2 linked regions of the Caenorhabditis elegans genome follow. The protein of the gene in region 1 purifies or fractionates together with the protein of each later gene. This does not show direct contact. Each region holds a gene or a part of one and is shown in the gene's direction. Other genes may lie near its edges.

Region 1 (10,257 bases):
TGAGGAAATTGAGAAGCGGTTCGCAAATTAATCACCCACCGGATAGTATTCATCAATTGTATAGAAGTTTTTCATTATTCAATCACTAAAATTGGTATGTGTAAAATATCGTCAGATGTTGCTGGAAAGTTTCAGAATAGATTTTCAAAAATGTTGAAGTTGAATGAAATACATGGCAATTGAATTTTTTGATTGCGCCATAAGGAACCGATGACTGAGATTACAAATGCTGTAACATTCATATTCACACTATCTACATACTTTATTGTGAGTGAAGTTTTTTTACATAACACAAGTTGGCTCTGCATTCGACTATTTTCCAATGACCCACAATGCAACGTCTGTTTTCAATTTTAATTTGTCGCAACAGTTGGAGGTCCTCACCGGTCTATGTTGTTCTTACTAATCGTTGCGAGTGGCGCCATCTAAATCAACAGTGTCTGTCATCTGACACGTGTCACACCTCCTGAGGTCTTCCGGAATTTCTCAAATCGTAGGAATCGTCATTTGTCATTATTTCCTACTTTTGCTTATTTGAGTGGCAAATCTTTAATTAAAATTAAAGATAATGTCAAGGATTTCAGCTAAAACAAGTTTGGCTTCTTTTAATTGAGTTTAAGACGGAAAATTAGGATGTTGGAATTGCTGTACTTCACCGTTTGAAAATAAATAAGGCAGCAATTTTTGAATTAGATACCGTGAATTCTCAAATTATACGACGTTTTAAACTAGCTTTTCAGAGTTTTACTTTGAAAATAATAATTCCGAATACTGTTTGTCTCATAGAAATGGAACAAACATCTATCGATTTCTGAGCATCTTATTAACGACTCATTTCACTGTATTAGATTTTTGTATCCCACTCTTGGTGCTTTTGAAACATTTGCACTTCTCCTCCCGCGTGCACTTGACGATGGATTTGATAGCGAAATTGATGGTGATCAATTCTGATAGACATGCAATCAACGTGTTGATCAGACAGCATGAAAAGACAACATTCAGATAGATATTGGATCCCGCCCTCTGTCTTATTCGTGGCCACCCCGAGCGGTGGGAGGCTGAGTCTTCTGTGTGTGTGACGGGAGGAGGCATACGGTAGTTAATTGTTTTCGGACGAGGGCCAACAATCTGAGAGGCGGAGTCACAAAAAGAATAGCACCCCTATTGCACACTTTCTTTTCACTTTTGATTTCTGTGCTCTAATTGGGGATACTACTTTTCTATGCTTTCCAGACGATGGTAAACTTCTAGAGCGGCCAGTTTTCACAATGGCTCTTTTTGTTTTATGGCTTGAGCATCATTTCCTGTTCTCGAACTTGCCAGTTAGTAATAAGTTAATAAGCTAATGAGCCGGACGTACCCAATAAAAGTGTAATTTCAAGAGTGTGGAAAATGAGGGACTCAAAAATATTTGTGATAATTGTTGCGTCGTAAAACTCTCTACGCCCCGTTTTGGCTCTCATCACATAATGACATAATTACTTTCTTGTGGGTTGGTGGTAACAGACAAGTTTCAAAAGGAGAAAGCCAACCTCACAACTCTAAACAATTATGTTTTGTTGGCTCGAATTCCAACAATTCCAACAATTCTCCTTCCTCACCACTACCAACTTCATTTAGTTCCAATTTCCCCCGTTTGAGTTGATGAGACGTTGATTATTTTGGTGTTGTTGCCACTTCTTTCATTGTTTTTGCTTTTTGGCGCCTCTTTGACACCTCCCTCTCATCCCATCTGAATCAGCTAATGACGATATTGGATAAAGCTATAAACGGAGATCGATGTCACGTGGCAATAAATAAAGCAAGGTGCTAATGTCATTAAGGATTGCAATAAGCGCGTGGTGTTATATTGGTCAACACATCTGCTTATAAGGGGCTCCTCCTTTTATTTTCCAGCAATGATTCCTACCGTAAACCCCATCTGATTTTTTGTTTGCTTTGCAATTTATCCTATCCTTAAGCGATGCGCACCACTTCCCGCCTTCTTATACTTCCTGTCGCCGTTTCATAGAGGCTCATAGAGCTTTGACTATTAATTACAAGAGTATCCTCTCCGTCGCTCCGTTTTCTCTAAATCCCTTCTTTTGCTCAATTATTATTACGGTAACATATGTTGTTACGCATTCAGTGTTCCCTCATCCTTTGCAGATTATTTTTATGATCAATTCTCTCTAATCCGTCGTAATGAATCTTTTCTCAAAGACATTGATTATTTTATTACAGATATTATTAGAACAATGGTGTCGAAAGATGAAAAACCAAAGCAATCAGGATTATTCAGTGTAGAGAGTCTACTTGAAACACCCAAACAAAAATGTCGTGAAGATTTACCAAAACCTACGCCAATTACGCCAAAAACTCCTATGCTAATACCAGGATTACATCCTATGACTCCATACTTCGGCGCTCAATTGGATCCTGTGATGATATATTTCGCTCAGACCGGGTAAGTGAACAACTTTTTTTAGAAGTCAATCATTCTATTGCGTTTCAGAAACCGGCTGCCAATAGTAAGCTCCGACAGTTCACCTGAATCCTGTGCCTCGTCTCCACTGTCTATGCAACATTCACTTCAATGGCTATCATCTCAGCGAGAAGATTCACCAAGTAAGCGAAAATCCAAGATTCGTTTCCTTTTCAATTAATTGGCGTTTACAGCTAGCGATGACGCCAAGATTCAAATAGGGCTTTCCAAGTGCATGTTAAGGAAACACAAGAACAATAGAAAGCCACGTACCCCATTCTCTACTCAACAACTTATTTCTTTGGAAAGAAAGTTTCAATCAAAACAGTACCTGTCAATTGCGGAAAGAGCAGAGTTTAGCGCATCATTGCAATTGACAGAGACACAAGTCAAAATTTGGTTCCAGGTTAGTATTAATTTTTCTCAGCACTCGAATGCAGTCCTGAACAATTCATTAAATCATAAGTGACAGTATGCCTCTCAATAGATTCTATCAATAACTTGACACGCTCCTCATAATTATGGTGTTCGTAAATGCGTTGCGTATCCCCTTGCCTTCTCGTGATCCCGCCGATAACATTGACCTTCACGTCTCTCTGTAATTCTTCTCCAACCCGATCCGATTCATGGAATAGATTCCAGAACGGAATTCTTCACACCTGTTGTCAAAACGATCTTATCTTTTGGGCTGAAATAAGAAGAAAAACAAAAAAAGCCGACACATAGGAAGATAAAATGCTCGTTCATTAAAAAAGGTGACTAACGAGATCTGACACTTTCTCCTTTTGCATTCCGTCTGACTTGTCAAGTAGCTGTTGTGTTGTGACAGCTGTCTTTTCTCCTGTTTCTACAGTATCAATATATTTCGGATCAGGCGCGTGGTGTAGTGGTGGCAGATGATGGCGCGGTTAATTGACCTTCATCATCACGTAATTGGTAAATATTGCAACTGCACATCTTCTTGAATCAATTCATGTGAAGGGGGTCCAACCTATCCTTCAAATTTTCGGTTCGGGGGAACGTACACAATGGTGTCAATGACGTAAGCTAATTGTCACATAGTCATCTGCTCATACATGCTTTATTTTGGTTTCTCAATCAGTCAAATATGTGATTGCCCATAAAATTAGACGAAATACCATTACGTTGTGAGGGAATACTTCTTTACCATCTGCATCTACAACCTTGATTTACTATTTCCAACACATTAACACCTGTCAATTTTTTTTAGTTTTCTTAGTATTCAGTTTCACAACAAAAAAAACCAAGGTCAATGTTATCAGAATCTATCAAATTTCCCTCAATAAGGTGTTAATGATATGATAAATGATCTAAAAGATTGCGGAATTTGGCAATGAATTTGAAGTTGCGGAATTTGATTTCACAGCTTGACGCCAAAAATATAAAGAAAAAGAAAGTTTTGGAAACATTAATTAAATAGATCAATTACAGAATCGAAGGGCTAAATCAAAAAGACTACAGGAAGCTGAAGTGGAAAAAGTGAAGTTTGCACAGGCCAGTGCTTACGCAGCAGCTGCAGTTGGCGGAGCACCAGATCCATCCAGCATTTTGGCATTTTACCAACCTCAGTGGTAGTGACCGCATAACATCACTTCCTTTTCCGCGGTGACAGAAATACCCACCGTCATGTCTACAATGCATGCCTTAAACCGTGCCTTAAAGATAGGCAAGACCTACTTTGCCATAAAAGTTACTGTGACTCCACTAGAGAGGTTGCCTTTCGAACAAAGTAGGCATGCTTTGTAGACACGTATGTGGGCATTTTTGTCTTACTGTATAATACTTATCCCTCCCAAAACCTAGTCTCTAAACCAGCCAATAAGTCATTTCACAAAATTGTTAATTACCATTGAGCCTACCAAAATTGAATGATTCCTTCACACCTCTTGATTGGCCTCAAAAACAATGCTCAACATTCAGTTATTAGTCCGGTTCCAACAAAAAAAACTATATGCAATTCCACATTCCTGAACTTGTTCCCCATTTCTTTCACATTGTGTTGTGGGCTAATTCGCTTTTCATTTTGCACATTTTCTTTATTCGTTAGCAAACTGTTTTATTAATCATCTAAAGTTGCAAAATACATGTGATCTCTTTAAAAATGAATAGGTTAAAAACTTAAATGTTTAGCGCCACTTGTTTATATTTCCTTATGTCATTCTCCCTGTTTTTATGTTTCCCAATACACTAGCTTTTGCTTGTAATTTTGCTTACAGAAACAATTTTTTTTTAATTTACTGTAATAAATAATAATGCAAACATTAATATTCATTGTTAATTATTCTGCGAAAAAACTGTAATCAGCATGTAAACAAAAGAGAAATTGAATTAAAATACAAATTGCAAATCCTTTGTAGTCATAAAATTGTAGTTCGTAAAAACTTAAAAACGATGTTTAGCCAATACTTTAGTCACCATTTAAAATTGTTTCGTTTCCTAAGTATTACGCTTTTCACAATATTTTATGGACTAACCAGTTTTGAAAAGCTACAGTACCAACTTCTTTTGCCAATTAATTATAAGAAACTTGGTAAAAGAAAAAACTACCTAATAACAGTTTCAGACGACTGTAATTTAACTTGGAAACGCTGTCCTGTTGATAATAAATCTTGCGATTGGCATATTGGTACTATTTCCGGCCAATCAAAAAATGAGTCACTTCGTTCTTCCACAACGTCAAACTGTTTGAAATGTGAATCAGCAAAACGATAAAATAAATCGAAGCGCCTCATTACTTACTCGCCTCATTTGCGACACAGTGAAATTAAAGATCGATGTTAAAATTCCTTGAAATACCATCTTATTTTTTCAATATTCTAAAAGTCACGACACGTTGATTAGCAATAACATTTGACTCCTCTTATCACCGAAACTCAACATTTCACAGCTCTTTCTCAAATTCTCGATTTCTCAACTTCTCACAAACGTCCATAATCTATCTGTCAAACATTGGTTTTATCGAATGATTAATGCAACGTTGAGTGTTCAAACAAACGAGTCGTATAAAAAGGAGGTACAATATCTAAAAGAACGCAGTACTGCAAACCGTCTTCCATCTATCATCAACCATGCATACCATTAATAGCCCGGTCAGTTAACTTTCTAAAACTTTTATCATACCATGTTATAGAAATAATAAAGTTATACTCTTCAGGATGTTCCAAGCGCTCATGCTATCCGTGAGCAACTTCGTGCTGGATCTGAAATCCATGTCCGTGGTCATGTTACCCACAAGCACCACAAAGACTTTTCTGTAGAGCTTCTCTCTGGACCCCATATCGTTCTTCACGTCAACTTCCGTTTTGAGCATGACCACATTGTTGCAATGAATACTTGCACAAACGGAGCATGGGGAGCCGAAATCCGTCACCACAACCCGCTCAAGCACCACGATCACTTTAACCTCTCCATCCATGTTCACGAAGGATACTATCATGTAAGCGATGCAATCATCGAAAAGTTGGAATTATGATAACATTTCAGATCTCTGTGAACGGAGAGCACCTCGCCGACTTCCCACACCGTTTCCCAGTTGAATCAGTTCAAGCAATTGGACTCAAAGGAGCCGCGCATATCGATGAGATCTCTTTCTCTGGATTTGAATTTGGAGTTGACTGGAACTCTCAACATGATTTTGGACATGCTGGCTACAATTCCTATGGTACTGAAACCTATGTTGCTCCAGTTTTCCAAGAGACTCACTCCTACAACGCCTACTTCTAAAGATTTTGTAAATTGTGTCAGTATGAATTATTGTTCTTTTAATTCTGAGTGATTCACCAATAAACATTCAATTGGATTTTTTTAAAGCAACATCAAATCAGAATAAATAAAGATATGTGTTGAATAGCGAACTTTGAGTTCTTGTAAATTAGACTCGCAATTTCCCAAAACAACCAAATTTTAAAATGAGACGTCTTGAAAACATTTCAGAAAAAAAAGTTACCACAGTTCCACGTTTAGAACAATGCCCATTCTGGCTGAAAATTCACATTACAAAGTTCGACCTTTCGGAAATGAACATTTATGGAAATTTTTTTACTGCACATGGACGTAGTTCACTACGTGTTGTTCAGTAGGTTAAGGTGTTTTTTATGTCAACGGGTCCACAAATTTAGTATTATTTTGTCCATAGATACAATTCAAGATATGAACCGAAAGTAAGTGATTTCTTTCCAATGGAAAAATCTTTCAAATTATATACTCAAAACCAACGCAAAGAAAATATACTCGAAACCAACGCAAAATGTAATTAGAAACTGGTTCATCGTTATTCAACAGCTAGAAACTTTCAAATTCACTTTTACTTCGAAATCTGAAACCACCTTGCCAGCATCTATTCCGTTTTCGAAATGTTTCCTTATCATACAGTCTAAAAAGTCAAAATACAAAAACCCTAAACGACATTCGCACCTTATGATTGCGTAATGCAAACATCTCAAAAATGCCCGAAAGTCAGTTCCATTCCAGCAACAAAGTTCTATTTTACTATTTCGGCAACAGGCAATTCTTGAGACGATGACTAAGGTCGAGTAAGAAAAGATCAAACATTTTCAAATAATGTTGACACACAGCTCGACGATGATGACAAAAAGTAAACATGGTTCGCAACCGGGAGCACAAAAACAAGGTGAAAAGTATAAAAAGTGAGAAAAAAATGGTTAAGTTAAGTTGAAACAACTATTCGAGACAACATGTATGTTATTGAAAACCCGGTAAGTAGACTGTTTTGTAAGTTTTTCAGTGCCTTGAAATTTTTCAGAAAGTTCCGAGTGTGTATCAAATTGAGGAAAACCTAAAAGCAGGCGTTGAAATTGAAGTAAATGGAGCTGTTTTGCATGGGAATGACAGGTATTCGAATTTTCAGTAGTTTGGCATAATTGTTTATTTATTTTCAGGGATTTTGCAATCGAACTTCTCAGTGGTACCAATATAGTTCTCCATGTTAAATTTGAGTTCAATGGAGAACATTCAATTGTTTTGAACAGTCTAATAAATGGCGAATGGGGCCCTCAGCTCCGACATAGCCACTTTCTCAAACGTCATGATCCTTTCCATGTCAGAATTTATGTTCACGAGGGATACTATAATGTTTGTTTGGTATCAGTTTTCACTGAGAATTATATTATTTCAGATAACTGTGAACAGTGATCTATTGGTTGAGTTTGATCATCGGTTCCCGGTCGTAGCAGTGCAAGGAATTGGAATCAAAGGATCAGTCGATATTGAATCAATTGTGTTCAAAGGATATGAGTTCAAAACAGAGTGGAAAAAGCGTCATGCAATTGTAAATGAGGCCGTGTGTGAAGCATATGATACCGTGACAAACGCTCCATCAGTTGTTCAAATTGAGGGAACTCAACATTATTGATTAGCTATATGTATACCATTAACTTACTATTCCTGAAGAAACGTATTATATGTTTTGTTTCCTGAATAAATACACATATCAAAAGTTTTGTTATAAATGTTATTATTCTAGTTATCAGAACCTGATATAATGAAATAAAAAGCAGGAATAAAACTTACATGTTTGGTAGATCGTGAGCTCGCAAGCTAATTGTCAAAACTACAAAAGCAATGTAATTTTCATCTGTCATAAACAAGCGCTAATATTCAGAAAAGCAAACAACAATAAAAAATGCGAATATTTTTCGTAGCTGTACATAGTACTACTATGACAGTAGTAGCCCAACATTTTTCATGGATTAACTCTCCGTAATTAGCTAATATTTTAATTTTTTCAAAGTCTTGTTTTATTCAGTCTAAGAAATAATTATTCCGAAGTATAAAAATTCAGAAAGGAGTCAAGTTTTTGTTACAAAAAATGTTTAGCATTTTGGAACAAAGCTATTACAAAAAACTACCAAAATTGTTTTGGCATGTTTTATTCTTCCATTTTTAGCTCCCAGTCACATTATACTTCATCGGGCAAATTATAAAGTTGCTTGCACATGAGATTCAATCATTTTAAATATTCAGATCAATACTAAACATAATAATTGTTTTTAATCATTGCTTACAACAGCCGAACAAATTATTTCTCTGTGCTTCAGTATTGAATGAGGGTCTCACTTTCTCAATTAGACAAACTTGTAGTAACTCAAAATAATGAGGAATAATGTCATTGAAAAATGACAGATCGATGTTCATTTTTCTCAAAACGTCATGTTGGTTTTTCCAACTTTGGTTTGTAGCTACCCCGTCGAAGAACGGATTCGATTGTAGCTTTTTGTTTGCTTTGTTCCACTTTCTTACATTTTCTTTGCACTTTTGAGCTATTTCTGCACTTTTCCGTTCTCACTTTTATTACCCGCATTTAAAAAAGGTATCTTTCTTAATTGAAAGTCACCATAAAGTGCAATCCGCTAGACCACAAAATAAGGCGGCAACAAGGAAAAATTCATTAGTCTACTACAACTACTGCTCATTTTTCAAGTACTACGCCTTCCAACTTGTTCATTCAATCCTCCACTCTTTCAACTTTTTCCATTCTATCTTAACCCGAATAGAGGAAATGGTAGCGTGAGCGTTTTTGTCTATTTTGTTTTGTTTTTTTATAGTCTAGATCGCAATTCATTTTGTGAATGCTATGTTAGCCTTCTAACCTCACTGCGGACCAAGTGCGTGTAGAAGAAAAAAAGGAATCAATTCATTTCCGACATCATAAATCATGCCTCAAAATGTATCCCCCAATTTTTATGCGGTCTCTATGCGACCTCTTTTGTGTATTCTCTTTTTCTCATCAATTTTTTTATAAAGCAAAAAACATAACAGAACCTCCTTATCCATTTCATACTGCTCCATCTCTTCCTTTCTCATCTTTCCATTTTATATCTCGATATGCAAAGAGAGGTAGAAATCAAGATTTTTGATCTCATCATATCTGTGATCTTCCAACATCTCTCACTCACGCCTCTTAATAGTTTACTAAGAGAACGTTCTTTAATTTTCAATTTAATCTCTCATAGAGTATAATGTCTGCCGAAATGGGATGCACATGCATAGTTCATTCAATTTTGAATTGCACCCATAAGGCGAAAGAAAATTGGGTTTCAGAAGGGAGAAAACTTATTCCCGGTTTGCTGAGTTTACCAACTTTTTCCCCAAAAACTTTTATTTGCTTTGTCTTCCAAATACCGCTGATGGAAGCAATGATGTCAGTGTTGAGACGCCTATTGGAGAAATCGGGAACATTGTGTTTTTAATTTATTATTAGTATTCGTAATTTTCATTCTCAAACTTGCATAACTGATATGGCTTGTCAAAAATGTCTTTTTTAGTTTTTTTTAAACAAGAATTTGAAAATAGTTTAGTTAATATCATAATGAACATGTCTCGACTAAGTCAATTGCAATATGACCTACAGATAAAATATAAGTTTTGTACTTGTCGAGGTTCCACAAATGATGACCACAAATAATGATTTCTCCCTTATTAGTTTTTTCCACTTGTGACTAGAAATGTTTATCTGAATCTCTTAAGTTCGAGATTGCCTTGTTTTTCATGGCAATAAAACTCAAGACGACAAAACGAGACAAGATTTGAAAGGCAATAAACGCAATTAGGAAAACACTTCAGCCGGTTAGATTCCCATTTAGCTTGTGAATCTCTAAAGCATCAACGAAACAAATATTTCAGGAACAACTTTAAAGATGACTTAACTGTTAGAAAGCAAGTGAAAATTGCTACCTTGTTGATGATGTTTTTCAAGACAACTTGAAAATTTAAAGGATCATTAACGGTCTGGACTATTGGGAACGATTCAATCC
Region 2 (11,155 bases), 3.1 Mb from region 1:
CGCCTTCTTTCCTTTTTTGGAAGAGCTTAGCTTATTCATTCTTTTGAAATTTTTGCTATAAAATATTTAGCTGTTTTGTAGTACCAGTCATAATTTTTTCCAGGATTTCACAAATTATCATTAAAATATTTCATTTGAGCTATGAGAAATGCAAATTGTTTGCCAAATAACTATTATGATTCGAGTTTTTGCAATCGTAAAATTCTTATCGCTACCAATAATCTTTGAGATATGTTTCACAAATTGCAAATACCGTTACGAAGACATCAACACTTTAGTAACTTTTTTTTCACGCCTCTTAATAATTCGCGATTAAAATAAATATTCAGACTTCTGTAAATAATTGTTTTGCCACTGCTGCCTTTTTTCACAAGTACACGAATAATATTCCATAATCATCTTAGAAACATCGAAAGACCTGTATATAGAGACTGACTATCAACTAGCATCTGCAATTCAAAAATAACACGATGATATGTTGCATGCTATAGGTCAAGAGCATTTTTTAACTCTTTTGTGGAAAAACTCCTGGTTTTAGTTGTTTTCCGAACTTACGTTTTCCAGCCCGCGAGTACATTCTTATACTCATTTTATTCTCCCAAATCATCACGTTTCTGATCTCCTCGTAGAATGTTAATGAAAACAGCAAACCAAGTTGATTATCTAAAAATGTTTAAAAGTTTTTTGCTCTCTCTCTCTAATTCCTCCTCCCCTATCTATCTTTGTCCCTTGTTCTGTTTTCCCTCTGTATACTACCAATTGTCATCAAATTTCCAAAGATCCTTTGAAGACTTCTTGCTCCAACTACGATAATAAAGTCGTTTCGTTTTTCCAAGGAGCAATTAGGAACCAGTACTAAACCATTTGGGCGGGGGGGGGGGGGGGGAGAGTCTTGTCTCCCCACTCATAAATAATTCACCTGGAAAACATGATTAGTATGATTTGCAAGCCAGTGAGGAGCACGTCATTTTTTTCCGAACCTAGGTATCCTCTAATTTTCGATGAGTGGTCACACTTATATTTTGCTTTTTTTTTGTCTTTTGCCTTTTCCTTCGCTTTATTTTTCACACTCAGTTTTAATTTATACTGATGTTTTTAAAATTCCGGGTAGTCTATCAAGATTCTTCATTTCCGAATTAACCTTCTCTCTCTTTCTGCATTCAAAGCTCCGCCCCTTGTTTTAACAAAACAGGTGAAGACAAAATCAAATTGCTCCTGCGCTAAAATCGGTTTCATTAACTGCCAGTTAAAATCACCCGGCTCACACTTTTTCTTAATTCCATTCCCAAAAAAATTAATCTCTGAGAATTATACTTGTACTTCACAGGACGACATGCAGTACACCTTCTTTATTCTGATTGCTTTCTTCTTCGCTGGGGTCACCATGGCCAATCAGGTAGGGACACCAAAAATAGTCAAACTTATGAATTATTCGCAAAATGTTTAGGATTGGAAAATGAGGAAGTTTGGAGGCATTGGGGGTGGTGACGACATGGCGCATTTTGATGTAAGCTTTCATGGATGTCAGATTTTTTATTTTAAAATCTAAATTCAGAGGTTCATCACGCACAAACGAGCTATAAACGGGGAGCTCCGCAGGTCCAGTATTCTTTGGGGCAAACGGGCACATGCTTCAGGGCTGAGGAATTTTGAAAGGGTGAGTCAAGGAAATTTTACTTCTTCACTTCTGTGTTTTTTTTGAATTTACATAAAGCGTTTTTTTTTTTGGAACAACACTATTCTATTGATACACTTGAGAAATCCTAATGTTTTGAAGTTTTGGCCACGAGTTTAATGCAGGTGGAATTGTTAATTTTTGGCAAAGATAGAATCACGAGGAAATTTGTCATCCCTAAATAATTTTAAAACTTATAGTTAGCAGGTGCAATCAAATGTAGTGTGTTTTCAATAAACCACTGACTCATTTCATTTATTTCAATTTAATTTAATTCAGGACATCCCTCTGATTCCTGAAGATTTCATGGTGATGTGGCCGGTGGAATCATCCGAGAAAACGATCAAAGATGAGAATAAATTCGAAACGGTAAACAAATTACTTGGAATCCACTCCTTCCTGTTCACTTATGATTCTTGTTTCCAAGATTTCATCGAATCAGATTGCAGACCACAATATTGGCCAAGACTTCAAGACAGTCGTTGAATCAACATGAGACTGAAAATGAGGAAGTGTTTTCTGATGACAATCTGAAAATGGAGCGGGTGGCGAAAGCAGGAATCCGGCCAAAACTTCAACTCAGCAGCCGGCTTTGGGGGCGTTGAAGGTGCAGAAATGAGATAGTTGATACAATTTTTCTTTCCTCCAGTCCTTGTACTTTTGGTGAAATAAAGCTGTTTTGTTAGAGCTGTGATACAAAGTTTCCATCATACAAACAGTCTATTTTCTGTCAACCGAGTATAGCTTAAAAAATTAAAGCGTTTCAACCACGTCCCGATTATTTAAATTTATAATCGAGCAGTTACTAATAAAGGAAATTCAAGTCTGGTTACACCTTTTTTTGTTAAATTTTTTTTTGAAATGTCAGAAGAGATGCTCAACAGTGGGATACTTTTTTATAATTGCAAGACGTGCCTAATCCTTTATATAAGGTTTTGCATTGGACTTCCTTAAACTTAACACTTGTTACATCTTGGAGTTTTCTAAAATATTGTCAAGGTTATTTTGTCATAAAACTATTTTAGTGCACAATTATTCCATTGATTAAAATGCATGTTCAGTAGGTTGATGTGTGCCCAAATTTATTTCTACGCCTTTAAATGAACCGTGAAATAAACCTTTTAATTTGTAATAAAATTTTGCTAATCAGTTTTGATCAAATAAAATTTAGTCCAGTTTTAAGCTCTAGTATGTATACCTGGCCATTCACAAATTCAGAATTTGGTACAACTATCACAAGCGCAGTATTAAAACTGGTTTTGTCTAAAACACTGTACATAAAGTGACATTCAGATGTGTATGTGCGTGATTTCCTGCAAAAATTGTATACCTGAATGTAACGCAAGCAGACCAGCTAACACTTTGCATAGCGCATCGTTTCCTGATCGAATAATAATGATTCACACCTATTATCTATTATCCGCGGTTAGTTGGTGAAAGGAGATGAGGGGATTCTTGGCAAATTCTCGTTTCCGACCAATTCGCAGTCTTTATCGTCTTCCACAATTTCTTAGTATTATTCGTTTTTTGCCCTGCGTGTCGGCCCACCATTCATTTGCCCTTCCACAATATCTTTCGTCACACTTTTCTGTCCAAGCGTGAACCTTTGCTATTCAAGTGCACTCAAGCGAATTGCCAGCATTACAGAAAGTGTATAAAATGATTATAAAGACGGGTGTGAAAACTGTGTATTCGCAAGATGAAAAAGTGTGGACTTTTGGTTAAAGCTAGTGGAAATTTTTATTTATGTTTTAATCGTTCAATGACTCATTTTTCTTATCAAGGGGTTTTTGCAAGATTATATAAGTTTATGATTTTTTTTCATTAAAGTTCATTTTTTAAATTGCGCAAACATGATTGATACGTGAAAAAATGAAAAGATATATTTTTTAATTTTGCTTTACAAAATTGTATTTCGGGGGGCGGATAGCTCAGTCGGTAGTGGTGACCGCTAGAAATCTGGAGGTCATAAGTTCAAGTCCGGCCTCACCCCCTAGGTTCACCCAGCCACTATTGGGCTTAATGGTATTATGCCTATCATAATTTGTAGTCCACAAAAAAATCTTTGTTTGCCAAACTTCATTAGCTCGAATGCTCTTGCGACCACTGTTAAAACATTAATTCGTCCAAAGTAGTTTAAGAGTTATTCTATATGCCGGCGGTATTATTTTTCCACTAAGTTTCCCAAATATTCTATAGTTGAGAACCGAAGTATTATAAAATTACAAATAACTGTTGCGTTATTTCTGACATTGTTTCTGTAGTTTTTGAGATTTTTTGCCCACAAACTCCATCATTCATTTAGGTCTCCATTCTTACAAACAACATTTTGAAGTCGATTTGAAAAGATAGTCACATGAACACTGATTTTGTAAAGCGTCACAAATATTTCCCTTCTCAAACACACCTAGTACACACCATTAAAAGTTCCACATTAGTTCTTGTTCTCGTAACTAGTTTTCTTTTGTGAAATTCCAGAGGAATCAAATTTTATGACAAGTTGAAAAATTAGGGCGGACGACGACGAGGTGAACACTAAATCAAAGACCATTGGAATCTTCAATGTTCTCCTGGTCAGTCATCGTAGAACATTTCGCTTCCTTATTTCAGTTTATTTTTCCTTGTGGTCTCTGCCATAGTCCCGTTTTGATTGAAAGTCTAGGTCCTTCAACAATGCATATCATACCCGATTCTCTTTTTTCATGCTTAGACAGATCTCTAAGCTTACGTAACAGGTTCCTTCCATTCGTATCGTTTTGCCCCATTTGACGATTTTTCTTTTTCACAGCTACTTTCTTGCCGCATTTGCATTAAATGCTAAACTAAGATTGATTCAAATATTAGATATGAAGATGTTTCGATGATGGAACTATTTGAATTCAGTGACTTCTGTGACTTTTTCTATACTGTTCTTGTAACTTTCTGTAAATTTTTACATAAACGGTATCTTACAGATTTGTCATGATTACAAACTGCCTGATATTACTGGCAATTTTGTTTGGATTTGCATCGACTCAGTATCTGAACTTAAACCTTCATAGACATCAAAGTTGTGCATGGAGAAAAAGTAATTATTAAACTATCGTTGTCACTTTTTTAATACTTTACGTGTTACAGGTTCTCACTGGAACCGCAAAATCGAGTTCCAGGGTGGCCACTCGGATAGTGGAGCGCTACTCAAGTCAACTGAACAGAAAGGGTGCTATGCAATTAGTGTGAGTTAGCCCCCAAGAGTGTTTTATTTTGATTTTTGAAAAACAATAACAATGCTTGATGATTGACGTTATTACAATAATAATAATAATTCATTTTCTTTAGGGAAAAGTGAAAATTCATGAGGATGTGAGCGACGAGTTGTTGATCTACTTGTCCGTGTCGACCACTGGTGACACTCAAAGACCACCGGAAGTGTGCAGGGATGCCAATCCGGACACTGGTTGTGGAGGTGTTGGATCATGGTAATGAGTTATTGACAGAAATATTAGGGAAATCATCAAGATTCTAGAGCTAGAAAAAACATTAGGAAATGAAAAAAAAGCCTTTTGAGCAGTTAATGATAGATGAACAGCTGTGAAGTACCTAAAAGTTTTAAGTTAGAGGTCACTCTTAAAACAAAAAGTATAACTATAACAATTTCATACATAAGTGTTTAACCTGCAAAATAAATTAAAAAAAAAGAACTGAAGAGAGTGGGATTCGAACCCACGCCCCCGAAGGGACTGGTGCCTTAAACCAGCGCCTTAGACCGCTCGGCCATCTCTCCACGTACTACGCTATCATAATTTGTCGTTATGTTATAACTTCAAACAACAAGATTTAGTTGTATTTCGATGATTACGAAATTTAAATTTTCGAACTTGAAAATTTGTTGTTTTGTTGTTTCCAAAAAATGACGTAAACACTGCTGTTTCAGTCTCTACTGCCGGCCATGTGATTCTTTGGACTCTCTCACGAAAATTCTCGGAGCTCAACTTGTTGTGAACGGCAAACCAGCAGGATGTGAGCCATTAAAAGTGAGCAACATCGTTAAAAAAAATTTACGATGCAGTCAATAACACTATTTTTAGAAAGGAGAATATGATAATGTTGAACTCCGTTTCTGCCTTCCGAAATTAGCTGCATTGTTGGAATGGCAGGGAATTTCAGAAGACGCGTTAGATCACATTTTAGCTGCTACTACTCAGGTTTGACAAAATGAAAATAATTATTGAAAGAAAAAGTGTGTTTCAGGAAGGAAATGGTCCACCAAAGCTTAGTCTATTTGTGACCGTTTATTTGTTCGACAAGGATATTAAACCTCTTCTAGTGTAAGTTCTGAAAATTAAATAGGTTTTAGCCAGATTTACAGTTTCATATACCATCTAACAACCATTCACTATATTCGAGACATATATGTCACATACATTACAGCTATATGAAAAATAACACTATTTTTCACGAGTAGAAAATTTTTAAACAAATAGAAAAATGAAATAATTTCAGCTCTCAACGAAAACTAGAATCTCGCATCCGTGAACTTCGCAAACTTGGCGCTGATGAGCCAGTTGACTCTCAAACTTATTGGAATCTGCCATTCAATCAAATTATCAAAAAGCAGTCAGTTTTCGTTGGATGTCACAAACTTTACGGAACCATTAGCTTGAGCGACATTCAAGCCAAGAAGAAATAAGAAAATATATTTGGATGAACAACGATGATAACTTCATGTTTATTCATTTCGTTTATGCGGGTTCATTTTTTGTGAATTATGAAATAAACACAATAAAAATTATGAATTAGATAAGCAAATTGATCTTGACATTTAATAAATAACAGTCAATCTTTATGGTGATACTGTGCTCAAAGACTCGTTGTGTAAAAAACAACAGTTTTGTCTGGTATCCTTTTGAGTATGTTTTTTTACATTTCTTCAATATGCATTTTATTCAATACAACCTCAATATTTTGCTAGCCTCAAAATGTTTCTGGGATTTTGTTCAAAGTATTCTGTATACCCTTTACTTCTAGAATTTTTATTCTTGTGTATACAACAGTACACGAATTCTACAGAAAAATCTTGCAAAGTTACTAATAGTAAGGAAAACTGGAACTATATATGTTGTTGGTTAGAGATCATAAAGTGATATTTATGTAACACATCTGTAAAACTTTATTGCATTTGTTCTCACTACTAGTTGAAGGACATAAGGCTTTTGATTCATTATTTTCCTTTTTTTTTACTTTTTTCCCCTTTCCTTTTCTTTTAATCTCTTCATCTTTTCAGAATCTCATAACCTTCATGACCTCGAAACGCCATCCGACAATCATTTCACATTGAGGTAAAAGTAACACGAAAAAGAAAGAAAAAACGAGAAAAGTGGTTTTGATGGCTGTCAGACTTTTATTACACATTTGTACAATTCATATCTATATTCCCCTTTCACCCCCACCGTCACTGTAAACTATTCTAAAATCCAGCTGAAAAGGGGTGTGAAAGAAGGGCACGTCCTCGTCGCTTACTTCATAAGCCATGACACCTTCATTTGCGCATCGGTTTCAGTCGCAGATGTTGGTCGTTTTCTTAGCTTCATCGTGTCTTTTCGTTTCCATTTCCAACGCGTTGGAAAACGTTGAGTTGGGAAAAGATCTGAGTGTAACTCTTGAACTCATCAAACATCAACCATGCAAAAGTAGGTTTACGAGATTTTAAACCAAAGCTTATTTGGTTTTCAGGTGGTAAATGGACAAAGAAGTTAGAATTCGAGTCTGGAAATGATAGGAGAGGCCCGAAACTTGAACCACAAGCCGATAAGCCAAACTGTTTTACTATCGGAGGCCAAGTAGAAGTTCTAGAGGTAAAATATTGTGCTTTTTGTTTTGTTAATATTCCGTGTCTTGAAGGAGGACTAACGGTTTGGATGATTTTGAACGTTCAAACCCAAAATGAGCTCAAATAAACGAGTTTCGTAAGGAAACTTCTGATAAATTTTTCAAAATTTTTTTATGGCGGTTCAAAATTTTGAAAAAAAAATACACTGATTTTAGCTAAAATCTCGATTTTTGGCAACTTTTCCGTGTCGCAGCGGGGGACGTAGTTGACTTTTTTGGAATCATCGCCCTTTATTGCATATTTTGGTAGTTTATCTCATCCAATTTCATTGATTAAGGCACATTTAAAGCCGACAGGTAACCAATTTTGATGATTTTTGGTTACCTATCGGGTTTAAATCAATGAAATGTGATGATAAAAAATTACCAAAAGATGCAGGAGGATAATTCCAAAAAAGACAACTTCGGACCGCTGCGACACGGAAAAGTGGCCGAAAATTGAGATTTTAGCGAAAATCAGTGTATTTTTTTTCAAAATTTATTCATTCCAGCCCAATTCGGATTTATACGTTCAAAATCGTCCGAACCGTTAGTCCGCCTTTAAGACCGTGTTTTTAAGAACATCAACACAATCTGTATCTTTAAATGTAGTCTGTACAATTTAAAAATCACTAAATTATACCTTACTGAATTATTATTGGGCAAATTGAATTTTTTTATGCCAACGTGACAACGTGACAACATTTTAAATCAATATCATTCAAAACTTAATGTTTTTTTTCAGTATTTGTGTAGCGTATCAAAAGTTTAAAAATTATCTTACCCTGAGAAATAAAGAATTCATCACAACTTCTTATTACTCTCTAAGTATATACTTTGAATGAACAATAAAGCTACATAAAAAAATAAATTGAAACTCTCTATTTCAGGACTTTGGCGGAGATTTCTCCATTTATCTTGAGCTGAAGAACACTGCCAAAAAAAATACTGTCCCAGAGAAATGTGTTCGACAACCTGAAAACGGATGTGGAGGATTTGGGTCTTGGTTTGTTGCTATTAATTAATGTTGTCATACAATATTGATTTATCTTTTTTTCAGCCTGTACTGCAATGCATGTGAAACATTCGGTGACAAATTAGGAGTTCGAGCACAGCTGCTCCTCGATGGTCAACCAATCAGCTGCGCTGACGGATTGAAAAAAGGCAGCTATGACAACTTGAAGCTTGCTTTCTGTCTTCCAGACATTGATGATGTCATCAGCTCACAAGGGCTTAGTAAGGAGTCATTCTTGCAGCTGATTCAGGGTGATGTAAGTCTAAAGGTCAAAAAAGCAAAAACTGGCTGGAAATTTCAGGACGGAAACTCTGTTCGTGCTATGGGGATCTTTGCTACAGTCTACGTGTTTGACTCTGACGTCAGCAAACAAATGGCGACTCAAATCAAAATCGAGGGTGTATACCGTAGAACCAAGTACAGTTTTTTCAAGGTAAATCACAAGCTGAATTTTTCTCTTTTTAAAAGAGTATTTCAAAAATGTTACAGGACACTCAACTTCCGGCTGAAGTCTACTGGTCTCTTCCATTCAATCAAATTATCAAAAACCAACAAAGCTACGTGGCATGCCATAAGATTTACGGAAACTTGAAAGTTAACCGTAAATAATTTGTGATTTTCTAACCTAATTTTGCTTGTCTGTAAATAAATTTATTATTTTTTGAAATTTTTTGTGACTGTAAATCATACGATTTGGTGGCCCATGAAACAGTTGACGTGAAATAATACGTGCAAAGGAAGATTTATAACAATCAAATTCAGCAAAGAAAATAACAAGGAAGCTATTTCTGTGGGTGGCAAAAGTTTGACAACACAAACAATTTTATGGACTTCAAACTAAACAGTATAAAAACTGAGACCCGGCCATTACTTTGTATTACATTTTTAAATTAGTCAAATATTTTCAGAGCAAGAACCTGTTTTATTATATTATGGGTTACACATTTTATCTTGCGAGCTATACTTAAAAACCGACTGTTAATATAAATGTTCCATGGAGCCTAAAAATGTATGATTTTGTTACAACTCATTGATAACCATAGTGCCGCTCACTATAGAAATGACACAATGGACAAGAAAAGATCAAAATTTATCCAAAAAAGATAGGTTCCACCGAGATTTGAACTCGGGTCGCAGGATTCAAAGTCCTGAGTGCTAACCGCTACACCATGGAACCCGGTGAGCTTCGAGAACTTGCTCCGAAAGAACATTCGGTTAATAGACATGCTGAGTTTGCTAATGCACTTATCGGGAAGGCCCAGTCGCTCAGTTAGCAGTGAGCACATGAGCGGCTACAATGTGCTAAAGAGTGTCTATCGCAGCGATCAACATTTCTAAATGTCAATTCTGATAGCAAAGTTTTATGGATAACAATTCTGTGTTAATGTAGTTTCCATATACCTTTTTTCGGGTTTCAAAAACTTTATCTTTGGTAAACATCTTTTTTCTGTGTGAAACTTAATTAGTGTATTCTGTTGCTACAATTGTTTCTACCCGATTAATTGATAACTACAGTAGCACTTGCAACAGAGTTTGTACAACTAAAAAAACCTCCAGAACAAACCATAAATATATTCAAAAAAGATAGGTTCCACCGAGATTTGAACTCGGGTCGCAGGATTCAAAGTCCTGAGTGCTAACCGCTACACCATGGAACCCAGCGATCTTCAAGAAGTTTCTCCGAGTTGACAATAAGCTAGCTTTTGATGGACATGTTGCGTTTGCTTATGCACTTATCAAGAGCATTGGAGCTTCCTTAAGAGTGAGCAAAAGGGCGGCTAGCTGTTCGGCGCAAACAAAAAGAATGACTGAAGTCTGCAAAACTAATTTCCGAGAGATCACTATTTTTATTAACAAAATTCAATTTTTTGAAGACATTTATTAAAATACTGGGAGTTTGAAACAAATATATTTCAGTACTAATTGCAATACTAACTTTGTAAAGTGCTTGAACTCATGGTAATCAATCTTCAAAATGTATGATTATAAGACCTGCCCTTTGATACCAATGATTCAGTTTACTGTTATTGAGAGTTTCATTTTTATATTATTTTTGGTAAACCCATTATTCTTCTTATTAATCTTTTTCAATTACCACTCATTTGCCATAAAGAGAACAAGACCGCTGACAATCGGCCACCCTGTGGATCTTAATCGGTTTCCCAAAAGAAACAATTATGGATGTTGTTAGATTACAATCGACTGCAGGTAGAAATATTTTATATTTTTCTAATAAGCAGCAAGACTTCAAAAAGAACATTATTTATATGTTTACCTGTTTCCCAGCATGAAATTACTCGTTAAAGGAAGAGTTTCCTGGCAGGGGAATAATGTTTGAAAATATTAAAATTATACTAAAATTGGCAAAAAAAAATCATGATTGCAAATGCTCAAACAGTCATAATACCAAATCTCTGACTAAACTTTTCGGCAAATCGAAAGTTTGATGACGTATTTTTTAAATACAGTAAATCCGTCCGAACTTGAAATATGAATATTCGCTCTTTCAAAAATGTCAAAATTACTTTTTCATCATCTGAAATACACCTTTCAAGATAAAACACAGCGACGTTCGATCTATTGTGATTTGTGCCACTAAGTTTTAAAAAGCAAATCCA

Evidence for each region.
Region 2: the proteins of lec-8 (region 1) and gmap-2 fractionate together in Caenorhabditis elegans (co-fractionation; one large-scale study listed by BioGRID). This does not show direct contact.

The regions. Positions count from the first base shown.
Region 1 is NC_003284.9:9,845,054-9,855,310, forward strand, and holds lec-8 (putative galaptin lec-8), read left to right. Parts: upstream 1-5,517; 5' UTR 5,518-5,553; coding exon 5,554-5,574; intron 5,575-5,639; coding exon 5,640-5,921; intron 5,922-5,968; coding exon 5,969-6,208; 3' UTR 6,209-6,283; downstream 6,284-10,257. Other genes in the region: Homeobox protein vab-15, read left to right, coding at 2,238-2,446, 2,495-2,607, 2,659-2,870, 3,917-4,060; putative galaptin lec-7, read left to right, coding at 7,180-7,200, 7,248-7,336, 7,384-7,576, 7,620-7,856.
Region 2 is NC_003284.9:12,936,741-12,947,895, reverse strand, and holds gmap-2 (GM2 Activator Protein family member), read left to right. Parts: upstream 1-4,629; 5' UTR 4,630-4,636; coding exon 4,637-4,742; intron 4,743-4,792; coding exon 4,793-4,890; intron 4,891-4,993; coding exon 4,994-5,133; intron 5,134-5,356; exon of another isoform or gene 5,357-5,438; intron 5,439-5,588; coding exon 5,589-5,688; intron 5,689-5,742; coding exon 5,743-5,859; intron 5,860-5,905; coding exon 5,906-5,982; intron 5,983-6,157; coding exon 6,158-6,344; 3' UTR 6,345-6,454; downstream 6,455-11,155. Other genes in the region: nssp-88 (Neuropeptide-Like Protein), read left to right, coding at 1,334-1,396, 1,448-1,507, 1,556-1,657, 1,955-2,044, 2,125-2,280; gmap-3 (GM2 Activator Protein family member), read left to right, coding at 7,185-7,344, 7,388-7,509, 8,413-8,528, 8,583-8,793, 8,839-8,970, 9,027-9,146.